2 linked regions of the Tribolium castaneum genome follow. The protein of the gene in region 2 interacts with the protein of the main gene of each other region in a pairwise test. Links are inferred from orthologs where the notes say so. Each region holds a gene or a part of one and is shown on either strand. Other genes may lie near its edges.

What was found.
Region 1: the proteins of Polr1C (region 2) and Polr1D interact in a two-hybrid assay, tested with the Drosophila melanogaster proteins (2 studies listed by BioGRID). The link is inferred for Tribolium castaneum from reciprocal best matches to the Drosophila melanogaster genes Polr1C and Polr1D.

The regions. Positions count from the first base shown.
Region 1 is NC_087402.1:7,143,595-7,149,560, forward strand, and holds Polr1D (DNA-directed RNA polymerases I and III subunit RPAC2), read right to left. Parts: upstream 2,971-5,966; 5' UTR 2,857-2,970; coding exon 2,842-2,856; intron 2,791-2,841; coding exon 2,690-2,790; intron 2,640-2,689; coding exon 2,438-2,639; 3' UTR 2,402-2,437; downstream 1-2,401. Other genes in the region: testis-specific serine/threonine-protein kinase 1, read right to left, coding at 1,282-2,370. UniProt on the Drosophila melanogaster protein: DNA-dependent RNA polymerase catalyzes the transcription of DNA into RNA using the four ribonucleoside triphosphates as substrates.
Region 2 is NC_087396.1:18,339,593-18,346,125, forward strand, and holds Polr1C (DNA-directed RNA polymerases I and III subunit RPAC1), read left to right. Parts: upstream 1-2,798; 5' UTR 2,799-2,910; coding exon 2,911-2,973; intron 2,974-3,022; coding exon 3,023-3,323; intron 3,324-3,370; coding exon 3,371-3,490; intron 3,491-3,535; coding exon 3,536-3,949; intron 3,950-3,998; coding exon 3,999-4,108; 3' UTR 4,109-4,189; downstream 4,190-6,533. Other genes in the region: Rab8 (ras-related protein Rab-8A), read left to right, coding at 105-200; N-acetylneuraminate lyase A, read right to left, coding at 1,150-1,292, 1,336-1,507, 1,553-1,698, 1,746-1,914, 1,960-2,105, 2,154-2,493, 2,540-2,791; proteasome activator complex subunit 4, read right to left, coding at 4,272-4,406, 4,453-4,662, 4,712-5,148, 5,764-6,490.

The sequences.
Region 1 (5,966 bases), on a different chromosome or scaffold from region 2:
TTGATTATTTATTTATAGTCTGTTTTTTGTACAATTTGTAAGAACGTGTTTAATGACATAACAAGAAAATAGTAAAATAATTAGTTTTGAACAATTCAAATGAGTTTTAAATAGAATTTGTGGCTGAAAATAAGCCGAAAAAGGGCAAAATTAACGTAATTATTGACTCATTTAGTGCTTTTATAATTTATTAAGTTAAATTTCAAAAAACCCTGGGATCTAGTTTATTTCAAAAGGCTTGACAAAGGAAAAAAACACTTTTTTTCGAAAATCTGCTCAAATCGCGCCAATTGAAAAATAAAACAGTCTGTTTTAGAGATTCTACTCAATCTCTAATGGTTTAGGGCTAAGGTGGCCAATCGTCCTGATTTAGCCAGAAGCTAGGACATGTTTAGATTTTTTTTGTTTTGTCCTGTTCTGTGTTTATGTCCCGATTTGTCTTGGTTTTGATACAAATAAACCCAAATATCCCGACATTAATAATTGCCACAAAAAAAAACCAAAATGTATAAGTGATTTCTATCGCAATTTGTTTTTTTACACATTCCAACGGACGTACATGAAACAAAATTTCGAAAATTGACATGTCCCAACTCTCCCAATATAGGAACTTTAGTTTGCACATAAATAAGAAAGGAGGAAAATAGTGAAAGTAATAAATAAGAATTTTGCAAAACGTGATATAAAAAAGTTGTTGTACTTGATAAGTTTTATTACGTGTAAAATTAACACTCGTATCTCTGATATACTTTATATACCTGATATACTCTGTATACTCGTAAATGTAGCAACTCAATAGATAAATATTTAGTGACTATAAAATACTAAGAAGTTTTTTATTGTTCACTTAAGACAACATCATGTACCAGTCTGCATTTTTTTATTATGAATGTCCTGATTTTAAATTTTTCAAAGTTGGTTATCTAATTTAAGTTCTAAAAAGACTTACAGAGCCGCCCAAACTATAGATTCGTTTATTAATTTTTATCGGTGGTTTATTATCGGGAAAAAATAGTTTAACCAAAATGCTTGAATATAGAGATAATGCCAATAGGTTTTTTTTAAAGGAAATTAACTTTAATTTAATTAACTATAACTTTTTTATCTCTACATTAGTTTTCGACAGAATTTTCGCATTACCTTAATTTCAGTCTGTAACGTTGTTAATTACCTTGCGCTTGCCACCATTTAAACAGAACAATTTATTTATTTCAATGCCTTTGAAACAAAACTCATTTTAAATATTTATTACCACATAAAACTATCGGACTGTTCGTTTTTTCAATCCTCCGCAATCATGCTGGGGAGACTCATCGTGGCCAACTTGTTGGTCTCCTGCGTCTCGACTTCTTTTTTCAACACCGAAACTTCTTTCGAACCGTCGCCTTTGATGGCTTTAGGTCCCGATTTCTTCCTCAGATTGTCCATATATTTTTTACGCTCTTCCTGGGCATGGACCATGGCCGCCTGTTCCGCTGGGTTCAACTGGGCCAGCCGTGGGTCCATCCCGAACCAATCCGACGCCAAAATCTGCTCGATCTTCCACCGCTTGGACGTGTCCGGCTCTAGGAGGTGGCTCATGAGACGCTTCACCTCCGAACTTATCACATCGACGACTTTCGACCGGAATTTCCACTGTCGGTTCATTTGTTGCTCGTGGAGTCTTTTGATATTTGTGTCGTCGAAAGGCATGGCTTTGTTAAGCATGATGTATAAGACAACTCCAAGTGACCAAATATCGGCGATTTTGGGGTGATAGGGCGAGCCTTTGAGGATTTCGGGGGCTGCGTAGCTCAAAGACCCGCAGTACGTGTCACTGGTCAGTTTTTTGCCGTAGGCGTCTGTCACGTATCTCGCGAATCCGAAATCGGACACTTTTAAGTTATAATTACTGGTGATTAAGGCATTTTCACATTTTAAATCCCGGTGCGCTATCTCCATATCGTGCAAATATTGCACAGCTAGGGCTAGCTGTCGCATCCAAACCCGCGACTGTGCCTCCGAAATCGAGCCTTTTTTCAAAATAAACTCGAGCAAGTCGCCGTTTTCCGCATACCTCATGAAAATAAAGTACTTTGATTTGCGCTGAAAAATGCTGTGGACGTGTATCAAGTGCGGGTGATTGATTTTGACCAAAATATCCAGCTCGCGCGGCAGGAACTTCTTGACAAAATCGCGGGGGGCTTTCGTTGTGTCGACTATTTTGCAGGCCAATTGCCGGGGCTTGTTTTTCTCGTCCCCGGCGGTGCCCTTGTACTCCGCAAGGTACACCTTAGCATAGGAGCCCTCACCGAGGACTTTGAACAGTCGGTAGCCTCTGGACGAAAGCGTGAGTTCCTCGGAAGCAGTGTGTTCCGGTGGTTTCGCCATAAGTACATTGGGACAGGAATTTAGACAAACATTTTGATTAATAAAAAATGACGTTTATTCAAAAATGTTAAGTTGACAATTCGTCTCTACTGTCGAAGTTTTGTTTCTCGCGTGTGAACTCGTCCAGAATGTGGTCGGAGAGGGCTGCCAGGTCCTCCAAGCCTCGTTTGAGGGCGTCCACAGCGCGGCCTGAGCGCATCTGAATGCGGAGGTGCATTGAACATTCCATGGGATGGGGGACTGTGTAAGCGCAAAATTCGACGTCAGGACTGCAAAAATGATTTAAGAGAGGGGTTTGGATGAGTCTGGAGCGCATTACTAGCCAGAAATGACACATCTGAGAGCGTTGCCTAAAGTGTGACCCTCGCCTTGTAGAATGAACGTTCGGCAGGATTCGTCTGTGTCTTTGGTTCCCAGGAGCTGAAGTAACGTGGTTTTGATTGATGTCATACAGAAAATAAGACAATTTACCTGTGTGATTGGCATTTTTTAAGTGGGGTTAGGTCCTAGAATAACACTAACGGAACATAATGGTTGGCAATAAATTCCTAGCTGAAGCCATCTAGCCGCATCATCACGTACTAAAAATGGCGCAAATTTAAAATAATTCCGATTACTTTGTATTTTTTTAATTTTTGCTCATGTCAAAATGATGTCAAAACCTTATCAAATAAAATTATTGAAAATTTCCTAATTGTATTTGAAAAGGTGGATGCACAGACAGCACAGATGGAAGAATTTTACCCAACATGACACGATCACATTTAATGTTAAAGATATTTATTAAATCCATTAAGTTTACAAAACTAATAGTCGTCACCGAATCGATGATAACGACATACTTGCAATCAGCCAAACTGGCACCGGTCTGGCACCTTATGTTTGCAACTTCTGTCTATGGGAGTCTTCTCGCAGTGTGACTCACTTGCGGTTCGATCTCAAAAAACTCACTTTTGGGAAAAACGCACCTATCTACGTAAACCTTCTGGAGCTCATTACTACGTTATATTTTTAGAGATCATGTTGTTCCTAACCGATAGTAGGCAATAGTCTAACCCAAACACGACACCTTGATCCACTACCTTAATAAAACTTTGAAAAATTAACGTGATATTATAAAAAATAAACTCAAATTTTGCTGACGTTTGTGAAATTTTTACTTGTCAGCTGCGCATCGGTACCACGTTTTTCTTCAATAATCTGGAATTTTAAATCCGCCAATAGGACTTCTTTTTCCCGTAAAACACTGGGGCCATCTATCCTCATCATCAGTAAAACCTATTTCAATTAGGGTTCGATTCGTAAAACCTGTTATTCTGTGGATTGGGCTATATCAGTTCGGGATGCCTGGTTGTATCCCTTAAAATCAACAAAAATGGCGATTCAAGTAAAAAGTGAGTGAAAATAAAAATTATTTTTCTAATGTTATTTTCAATTTGCACAAGAAAATTCATAGTGTACGGTCATCAGGGCACTCAGAGGAATCGTTTGGTGTAAGTTTCAGCTTGAAAATCCAGAAGTAGTTAAAGTAAAAAATTACCAAGTTATACTTTATGTTTTATTACGTGGTAAAGTTAACAACACACGTTAACATACCCTTTATAAACGTTTAAACACCCTTTTTCATGAAAAGGTTGACATGAGAAGTGCATTTTTCAATAAATCTCACTGAAATTTATGTCGTTGACTCAAGGTAGATTTGTCTGTCCTTAAACATGTTCAATAATAATTAATAGCGCTCTAGAAGAGCAGGAAAGCACACAAAAAACATTAAAGTTAAAATTTAACACTTCAGAAGAGAGCATAATACACCCTAACCCTACTTTCTGAACTTTTGTCCTTATCTGGCAATAGCACATAATAAAGGTAGAGATTTCGACCCTAAATATCCTATCATAACGCTCTGAAAGGGCAGAGATGGAGACAACATTCATAAAAGTGTAAATTTTGTCATTTTCGGGTGACAACATAACCCTACTTTTGGAACCTACCGAATTTTCAACAAAACGAAACAAACAAACAATGTGGCTATACGCATTGCGATACCACTAATTTTCGCACCAAAATTTCACATTGCCAGTTTCTGTTTAAATAAAAACATGCATTTTTATTTTTCCATTGACTGCATGCGAAACTTTTATAATTTTAGACGTTTATAGGCAAATACATTTGTTATTATTAATTTTTTTAGATCAATGCTGTTCTATTTTGAATAATTCTGTGTATGAATGTTTCTAAATTTGACGGATTTTACCAGTGAATATTTCTGGTAATGACCTGTTTTATACTTGTGACGTCACATCCGTGACGTGTCCCGAGGTTAGGTGTGCGGCGCAGGCGGCGAGAGCGCTTCAGTCGACAGCGAGCAGTGGCACGGGTCAGATCGGGAGCGGGAGCGGGAGGCGAGGCGAAGCGAGGTGAGTCGGTTTATTTAAATTATTGTGTATTGTGCGGTTTCGTTCAATTTATTCAGTTTGTTACTTGCCGTTGTTGCGAAGGGACGTGTGCTCAAGCAAATCTAAATTTTCCGGTTTAAATTTTCAATTCGGTGACTAGTGATCGCGTTTGAGTGACACATTTTAAATACAGTAAATAAAATTATAATCAAACACTGAAATAATTTATTGCCACGTAATAATTTTGTCTTTAATTTCAATGAATGAAAGTGGCTTGCTCAAAATTTAATGCAAATAAACATTTTTTTTGGTTTCATTTTTATTATTATTTTTTTAATGCTACAAACGGTAGCCAACGTGGAAGCGATATGAAGGTAAGTGCATTTATTTACTGAGGTATTGAATTTGATTTGAATTTGAATTGCCACAAATTGAAAGGTATTGTGAATTTTTTATTTTGTTTAATATTGACAAACGTTGCTTGTTGTAACTATCATGCAAATAAAGATTTTTATTGGTGTTGTTTTAATTTTTTAAATGTCTTGCTACAAACAGTAGCCAACGCAGAAGCCATATGAAGGTAGGTGCAATTTTTTGCGTTTTATCTTGTGATGTGTTGATTTAATAGCTTCTGTGCCATATATTATACCGTATTGTGTATCCTTTATTCTGTATAATATTTATTAAAGTCGCTTGTTGTAACTTTCCTACAAATTAATTTTTTTGTTGGTTGTGTTTTTAATTTATTTTTTAGGTTTTGCTACAAATGGTAGCAGATGCAGTACAAAAGGTAAGAGCATTTATTTAACGCCAAGTGAAAAAGCTTTGATTTTTGTGTACTATTTTTTCATTTCACAAACCAATAATTCCTTTATTCCCTTCATTTGAAATAATCATTGTTTACCTCATCCTTATATCCTTTTTTCCTGGCAAGAATGCTCTAAACCTCCACGTGGTTCTTGCCGGACAAATTAGTTATTGACTAATTTGACCAATTAGAGCAATCCTTAAATATAACATTGTTGATTGTTTTTTACAGCCGTAAAATTATGTCGCTTGTTGTAATTTTCATGCAAATAAAGATTTTTTATTGGTGTTGTTTTTAATTTTTTTTAATGCTACAAACGGTAGCCAACGTGGAAGCGATATGAAGGTAGGTGTATTTTATTGCTGTGTGCTGTGTATTTATTTATTTCACAA
Region 2 (6,533 bases):
ATTCGAATTCATTTGAGCCTTAAAACTGAATTTGAGACACCTTTAACTGTTCATCTTTACTTTTATTTGTTTCTCGGTTTTATTTTTGTCCGTTGTGTGACTAGGAGGCGAGCAATCCCCCGAAAGGCGGCCACCAGCTGAAAGCCACAGAACCACAACGAAAGCCAACGAATTGGCTGTCTCGATGCACCCTACTCTGACCAATCGGCGGAGTTTAAACGCCCTTATATACTAATCGTTCACATCACAGCCTTAAAGGGAGAGTCGATTCTTGTCGTTTCTCAAGGGTGGTAGGCTTCGTTTGGTACCAGAGGTCATCAGGTTGTGGTGTGTTGTGTAAATAGTCGGCACGACATGTCGTTCGGTGTTTTGTGACTTAATCGAAGTCGTTCAATTTTAAATCAGGCGAAAGGGACCAACTTTTCGTTGAGAAATGCACAAGTGAATGATATACTTTGTTATTTATGATTCGGTTTGAAGGCCCCGTTTTCCCTCACAAAACACCGGATGGTATGTCAGCGACCTTGATAATACTTATGTGATTAAGGGTAATTATTTTTTTTACCGTTGTATTTTTTTAGATAATTTATAGGTATATTTATACGTGTGCACATTAAATTAAAGACGATTGTATTCTTGATGGCGGTTGCAGACCTTCTCATAAAAATGATATGTCAATTACTGTTTTCAACGGCCATTAAGGGTATTGTTTCAAGGATTCTTTGTTGTGATTGCGATTCATTTATATTTTTTAAAAACTAGTTATGTCTTTATTCATTTTTTAATAGTAGATAAATCGAACAACCCGATGGAAATCAGTCCGTTTTATTTGTGTACATAAATTATTTTCGTTTTTCTTGTCCAAAGTATTATTGAAAAATTCTTTGTTGGGCGTTTACAAAAAATTGTATATCAAGTTTCGTTGCAAAAAAGATATTAAAGGAGACTAGATTTTGTACGTTTGTATATTTACATTTCACAAATTGTTTAAGAATTATCGCCCTCTAGGTTTAGCGATTACACTAAGTAAATAAAATGACGGAAATATCCAGGATGTTTCATTTTAATTGCGTTTTTATGAATAATAAAGCGAGTAGAGTCTTGTAATTTATTGTTTTATAAATGAATGTGTAAAAATATAAAAATGACTTACATAACACCAAGTTCGCGCAATTTGCATTGGAGTTTCTTTGTCGTGCCTTCCCATAACGTCTGCAAAGGCTCTCTGGTGGTTGTGCCGCAAGTGCTAGTAATGATGTCAGTTGCAGCCTTTGAGGCCGCTATGTAGTCGCCTAAACAACATATTAAACCACGTTAAGCGGACTATTCTTTTACCTTGTTTCGCAATCACATCTATCGTCCTGTTGAGTAAATTCTGTGACGTTTGGGCGCTTTTTATCTCCCCTTCTCGCACAGCCACACAAATGGATTCAACCAGTTTTGGTAAAAAGTTCAGACTTGTGCCCATAATACACGTAAAACCGCTCGCAGCAGCCCCCAAAATTGCCTAAAAGTGGAAATTAAGTGGGAGATATGGCCATAAAGCCCCTACTTCGTCGGTGCCCATAAAAACGGTAAACTTTTCCCTATTTACCGCCATAGCAGCGGTGCTCTGTTGTATATCATTCGTGCTATAAATGACGCCTACAAACGAATCCACTTCTCCCGTTATATCCAGCAGAAACGACGTAATATCAACTAAAAATGAATTTTTTCGTGTCTTGTTCATCGTTCGAAACGCTTACTTTCAACTTGCGTAAACTTGGGATTGTGGTGATAGAGAATGGGGACGTTTTTTGTAAATTCTGATATTAATTTTATGTACTTGATTAGGTCTAGGTGGTTTTTTGGTTTGTTGTAAAGGTCGGGGAGGATTACAACAGCGCCGATGTCCCTCTTAGCGGCGTGTTTTGCCTACAAATGAAAAATATTAACAGTTTTAACAAATGTTTAAACTACCATTTCTATAACGTCTTTGAGGGGGGCTCCCCCGATTTGTGCCATCAAAAACTGATTTGTTTTTTCACAAGCGTCAGCCCACGCGTCCGCCAAATCTATTCTTTCATGAATGGTTAAGGACATTCCTTCCCCGGTTATGTCATTAACTAAAATTGACCATTTAATTTAATTCATTTTCTAGAGTTGCGAAATACTTAAAATTCCTTTAATATTGCAAGCTTTTAAAAAATTTGCGTATTTTGGTATAGCCTTAAGGTTTACATCAGGTGTCACTCTTTTTAAGTTAGTAAATGGGGTAAAGACGGGGCACAAAAGCCCCCGAAATTTAAATTTCTGTGCCTTGAATGCAGGCATTGCCGCTTTGAGGGCATGTTTCTTTGACGACATGTGTTTGTGAATGTCGGAAATCCCGCATCTGTAATCCTTTTTACAGAATTTGCAGTAGAAATACGTATTTCCATGTATGCTCTCTGATAACCATGCTTTCAATTCGGGTTTATTCTCCCATTCTTTTTTGTACTTTGGTATGTATTTCTGCGGGAAGGTGGTTGGTTTTTCATTTGGTGTACTGGTGACTTACCTTCGAGTTACTGTCTCGTGATTTCTTTGACGCTGGTTCAAGATTTTCGTCTTTTTTGTCGTCTTGTTTCTCATTTTCTTCTTCGCTGTCTGACTCTTCTGGCACAAAATCGGCAAACAGAGCCTTAGCCGTTTCAGGTGTGCTTATTTGTGAGTCTTTTTCAGCCTTGCTTTTCGTGTTTGAAGCTTCCTGTTTGGAGCATTCGGGTTTCGTCATATTTTTCAAAAATTGTTTATATTTTTCACAAAACATAACCTAAAAAGCTGACATTTTAAGTGGCTTTTGGGTGGTAAGGACGGTAAGGTTGGTAGTCATTTTTACGAAAAACGTGCGTTGTTTGAGGTTATCCAAGTTTTTGAAACAAGTTTAAAATGGATAATATTCTGAATGACGAAAAGCCTCGAGTGATTTTAGGAGAATATAAAGTGACGCAGGTATGTCCTTTATTATTTTGTATTAAATTCCTTCAAACATCCTTTGAAGAATTTGCCCTCGGAACCAACTGTTTTGGACGAGAAATGGGACTTGAAAACCTTTAAGAAGAGATTTAGGGTGGTGATTGTGCGAAGTGAAGAGAATGAACTCGAATTTGACTTGATAGGGATTCACCCGTTCCTAGCAAACACTTTCAGAAGGTTAATGTTGAGTGATGTCCCCACAATGGCCATTGAAAAGGTTCACATTCTTAATAACACGTCTATAATCCAAGACGAAGTTTTGGCCCATCGTTTAGGCCTGATACCGCTAAAGGCCGACCCCCGATTATTTGAAATGAAAACTGATCGTAAGTCTTGTAATGTTGCCGTTCCAAACGTTACAATATTTTTACAGCAACTGCTGAAGGTACCGAACAGGATACTCTAGAGTTTGCGTTAAAAATTAAATGTACCAATAATAAAGACAGCAGTAAAGACTCACTGCGAGCTGAAGATATGTACAAAAACAATAATGGTAATTACCCCGTTTGAGAAACAATAAAAATTGCAATAATTTTAGTGTATTCAAAACACATCAAATGGGTGCCCATTGGTAAACAGAAGGAGCGGTTTAGTGACGTGGGCCCCATCCACCCTGACATTCTCATTGCCAAAATGAGGCCAGGCCATGAGTTAGATTTAAAATTATTAGCAGTCAAGAGCAACGGGCGAGACCATGCGAAATTTTCTCCTGTCGCAACCGCATTTTATCGCCTTCTTCCCGACATAAAATTATTACGAGAAGTGGAAGGTGAAGCAGCTGAGAGACTCCAAAAATGTTTCTCTCCCGGTGTGATTTCAATCCGACATGAAAAAGGCCGCAAATACGCTGTTGTAGCTAATGCGAGGTATGATACAGGAAGTCGGAATGTTTTCCGTTATGAAGACCTCAAGGACGCAGTAGCGATGACCAAAATTCAGGATCATTTCATTTGTAAGTTTTTTTTTATTTACTTTTTCAGTTTTTATTAATTGTAATTTAGTTACGGTCGAATCTGTGGGGGCTTTACCACCTGATGTGATATTCATGGAAGCTGTTAAAATATTAAAAGACAAATGTCTTGCTTTATTAGATGAATTAAGTCATGTATAAACATTTCACTTAATATACTTTTATCAAACCACAAAAAATATAATGAACAAGGTTAAAAATAAAAAACATTTGACGCGTAAATTTTTGCTACCTTAAACCTTCCTTCACCTATTGTCTAGTAAAAAATTAAATTGTAAATTGACTGGAATCGGAAAATTATTGCCTAGGCGTAATAACTGGGAGGCACTGTGAGATCACTTAAAACTAACAGTTCTTCCTCAGTAAATTTGAGTTTGTGGATTTCCCAGTTTTCGTGATGCGTTCGCTTGAAATCTCCCAAGGTTTTGCGAATTGTTGCCTAAAAATTATTAATTATTTTTTTAAACGACGAAAGTGTGACTCACAGGAATGGGTTGGGGGTCGTTCAAATGGGGTCCTAATTGTCCAAAAACATCCGGTAAAAAGTCAGGTACGTCGTATGGATGGCTATTGATAAAAGCACACAAGCCCAAAACTCCAGCATGTCTAAATCTTAAAGTACTAAGATTCAAACTGTTTGAATTGTTCAAATTTTTCTTCTTCAATTTAGTTTTCGCTTTCTGTTTAAATTGCGCCTAGAATTCACGAATTATTTAACGATAAACTAAGAACCCGAATAATTACTAATAATTCTTGAGGGTTTGGAATAAATTGGCAGTGCAAAAGACCGCTTAAAACTTGACTAGCACTAACTCTAACTTCAGGTTGAACATCTTCGAGTAGTTCTAGCACCATGTGTTGTATATCTAGTACCCACTCCTTTTTCGAAATAATCGTGGGCATATTGTGGAATACAAAACCGGACATGAATTCGGTTATAACCGCACGAGCCGACCAGAACGGACAAGTGGCAACTTTTCTTATTGCTTCAAGGGCCGAAGGCATGTATTTGTCAATAGTTATGGTGTAGGCCAAAACTGCGAGCAAACTCGAGCAAATTGGGGCGATTTCGTCGTCGGTGTCGTTGCTTTGAAGCACACACGACAGTGGCAAAATCTCGAAATATTCAGGCAGCGTGGAGTAGTTCATTCTTACAACACTCGATGTCACGTATTTTGAAACTGAAAACATGCCTTTTATTATTGCATCCTGACTGATTACATTACAAAACAAAACATTAGAAACAATTACAGAATCACACAAGGCTCCGATTTTCCAAATAACAATTAAAAGCCTAAAAACATATTCTTAAATAGAAAAATTAAACCAGTGCCGATTAGTCATCGTACAGTCACATAACTGCTATCATTTTTGGTGGATGCGCCGGCTAGATTTGGTTTTCATTCTAGAATATTTTTTAGATTCTTACTACGGATATTTTAAGGTAGGGGTATGAAACGACGTATAAATAAAATGTTTTCGTACTCGATAGTTTCGTTAATGTCGCTATAGAGCGCAGTTGTTCCATTACGTCCATTGTACGTCTACGTTTGTAGAGCAATGAATTTGAAAAAATGTTTGGATTTGTATAATGAATACCACACAAAAAATAGAGGCAGATAAAGCATTAAATTCTTAATAGTAAGATATAAACATAATGCAAAAAATTTATCGTAAACTATATTTAAAAAAATTTCAAACGTTTACCAATTTGCACTACTCCGTGAGTTCAGAAAGTTCTGTGATTTCTGTGATCTCATTTCGTCTCCTAAGTTATAGTTCTCCGTAATTCTTACCTAGTTTGAACAACCTCATGGCATTTTCTCGAACTTCGTCGTTTTCGAGCGACAGTCCTTGCATATCTTTTGATACTTCAGACGTATCCATTGGATTATCCTTACTTTCGATTTTGCTCAAAGTGTAACTGTACAAATTGTCAAGTGTGGGCATTATCTCCTTGAAAAACGCCTTAATTCCCGCCGAATTCGTATCGTTAGCATCATCGGGGAAAATCAAATCTTTGGAAAAAATCATCGTCAGACAACTACTAATTTTGTCCCTGATATTCTGGAAAGGGTGCGACAAGTGCTGTTTGAAGTAGTCGAACAAGCGAACTGACAGTTCGTTATTTCTCCAAGTTTGTTGGTTAAGGGCTGCATGGAGCATGTGGAGGCGCCCACAGGCCACAAACGATGTTTGGTCGGAGAGTGGATCTTTGACCAGGTATTCCAAGATCCAATGGTAGCGGTTGGGGTCTCTGGAGTCCAAAGCCATCGCCATACTGAGGCCCCAGTCGGTCATGGTTTCGCTACACATATTCACAACTGCAGTTTCGAGGATCGGGATCAGGACTGACCAAAGTTTGGTGATTTTATCAAAACTCCAATGCTTCGAACCGCGGATTAAACCGCTGATTATCTCAGCAGCGCAACGTTGCGACGACTCGTTTTTATCAGCCACGAGCTTCTCCAAGTGGGGAATGATGGGGTCAAGGAGCTTGTCTTCGAAAAGTTTGAACAGGTTCTAAAAATGTTCTATGAAACAGAAATCAAATACACGCAACTAA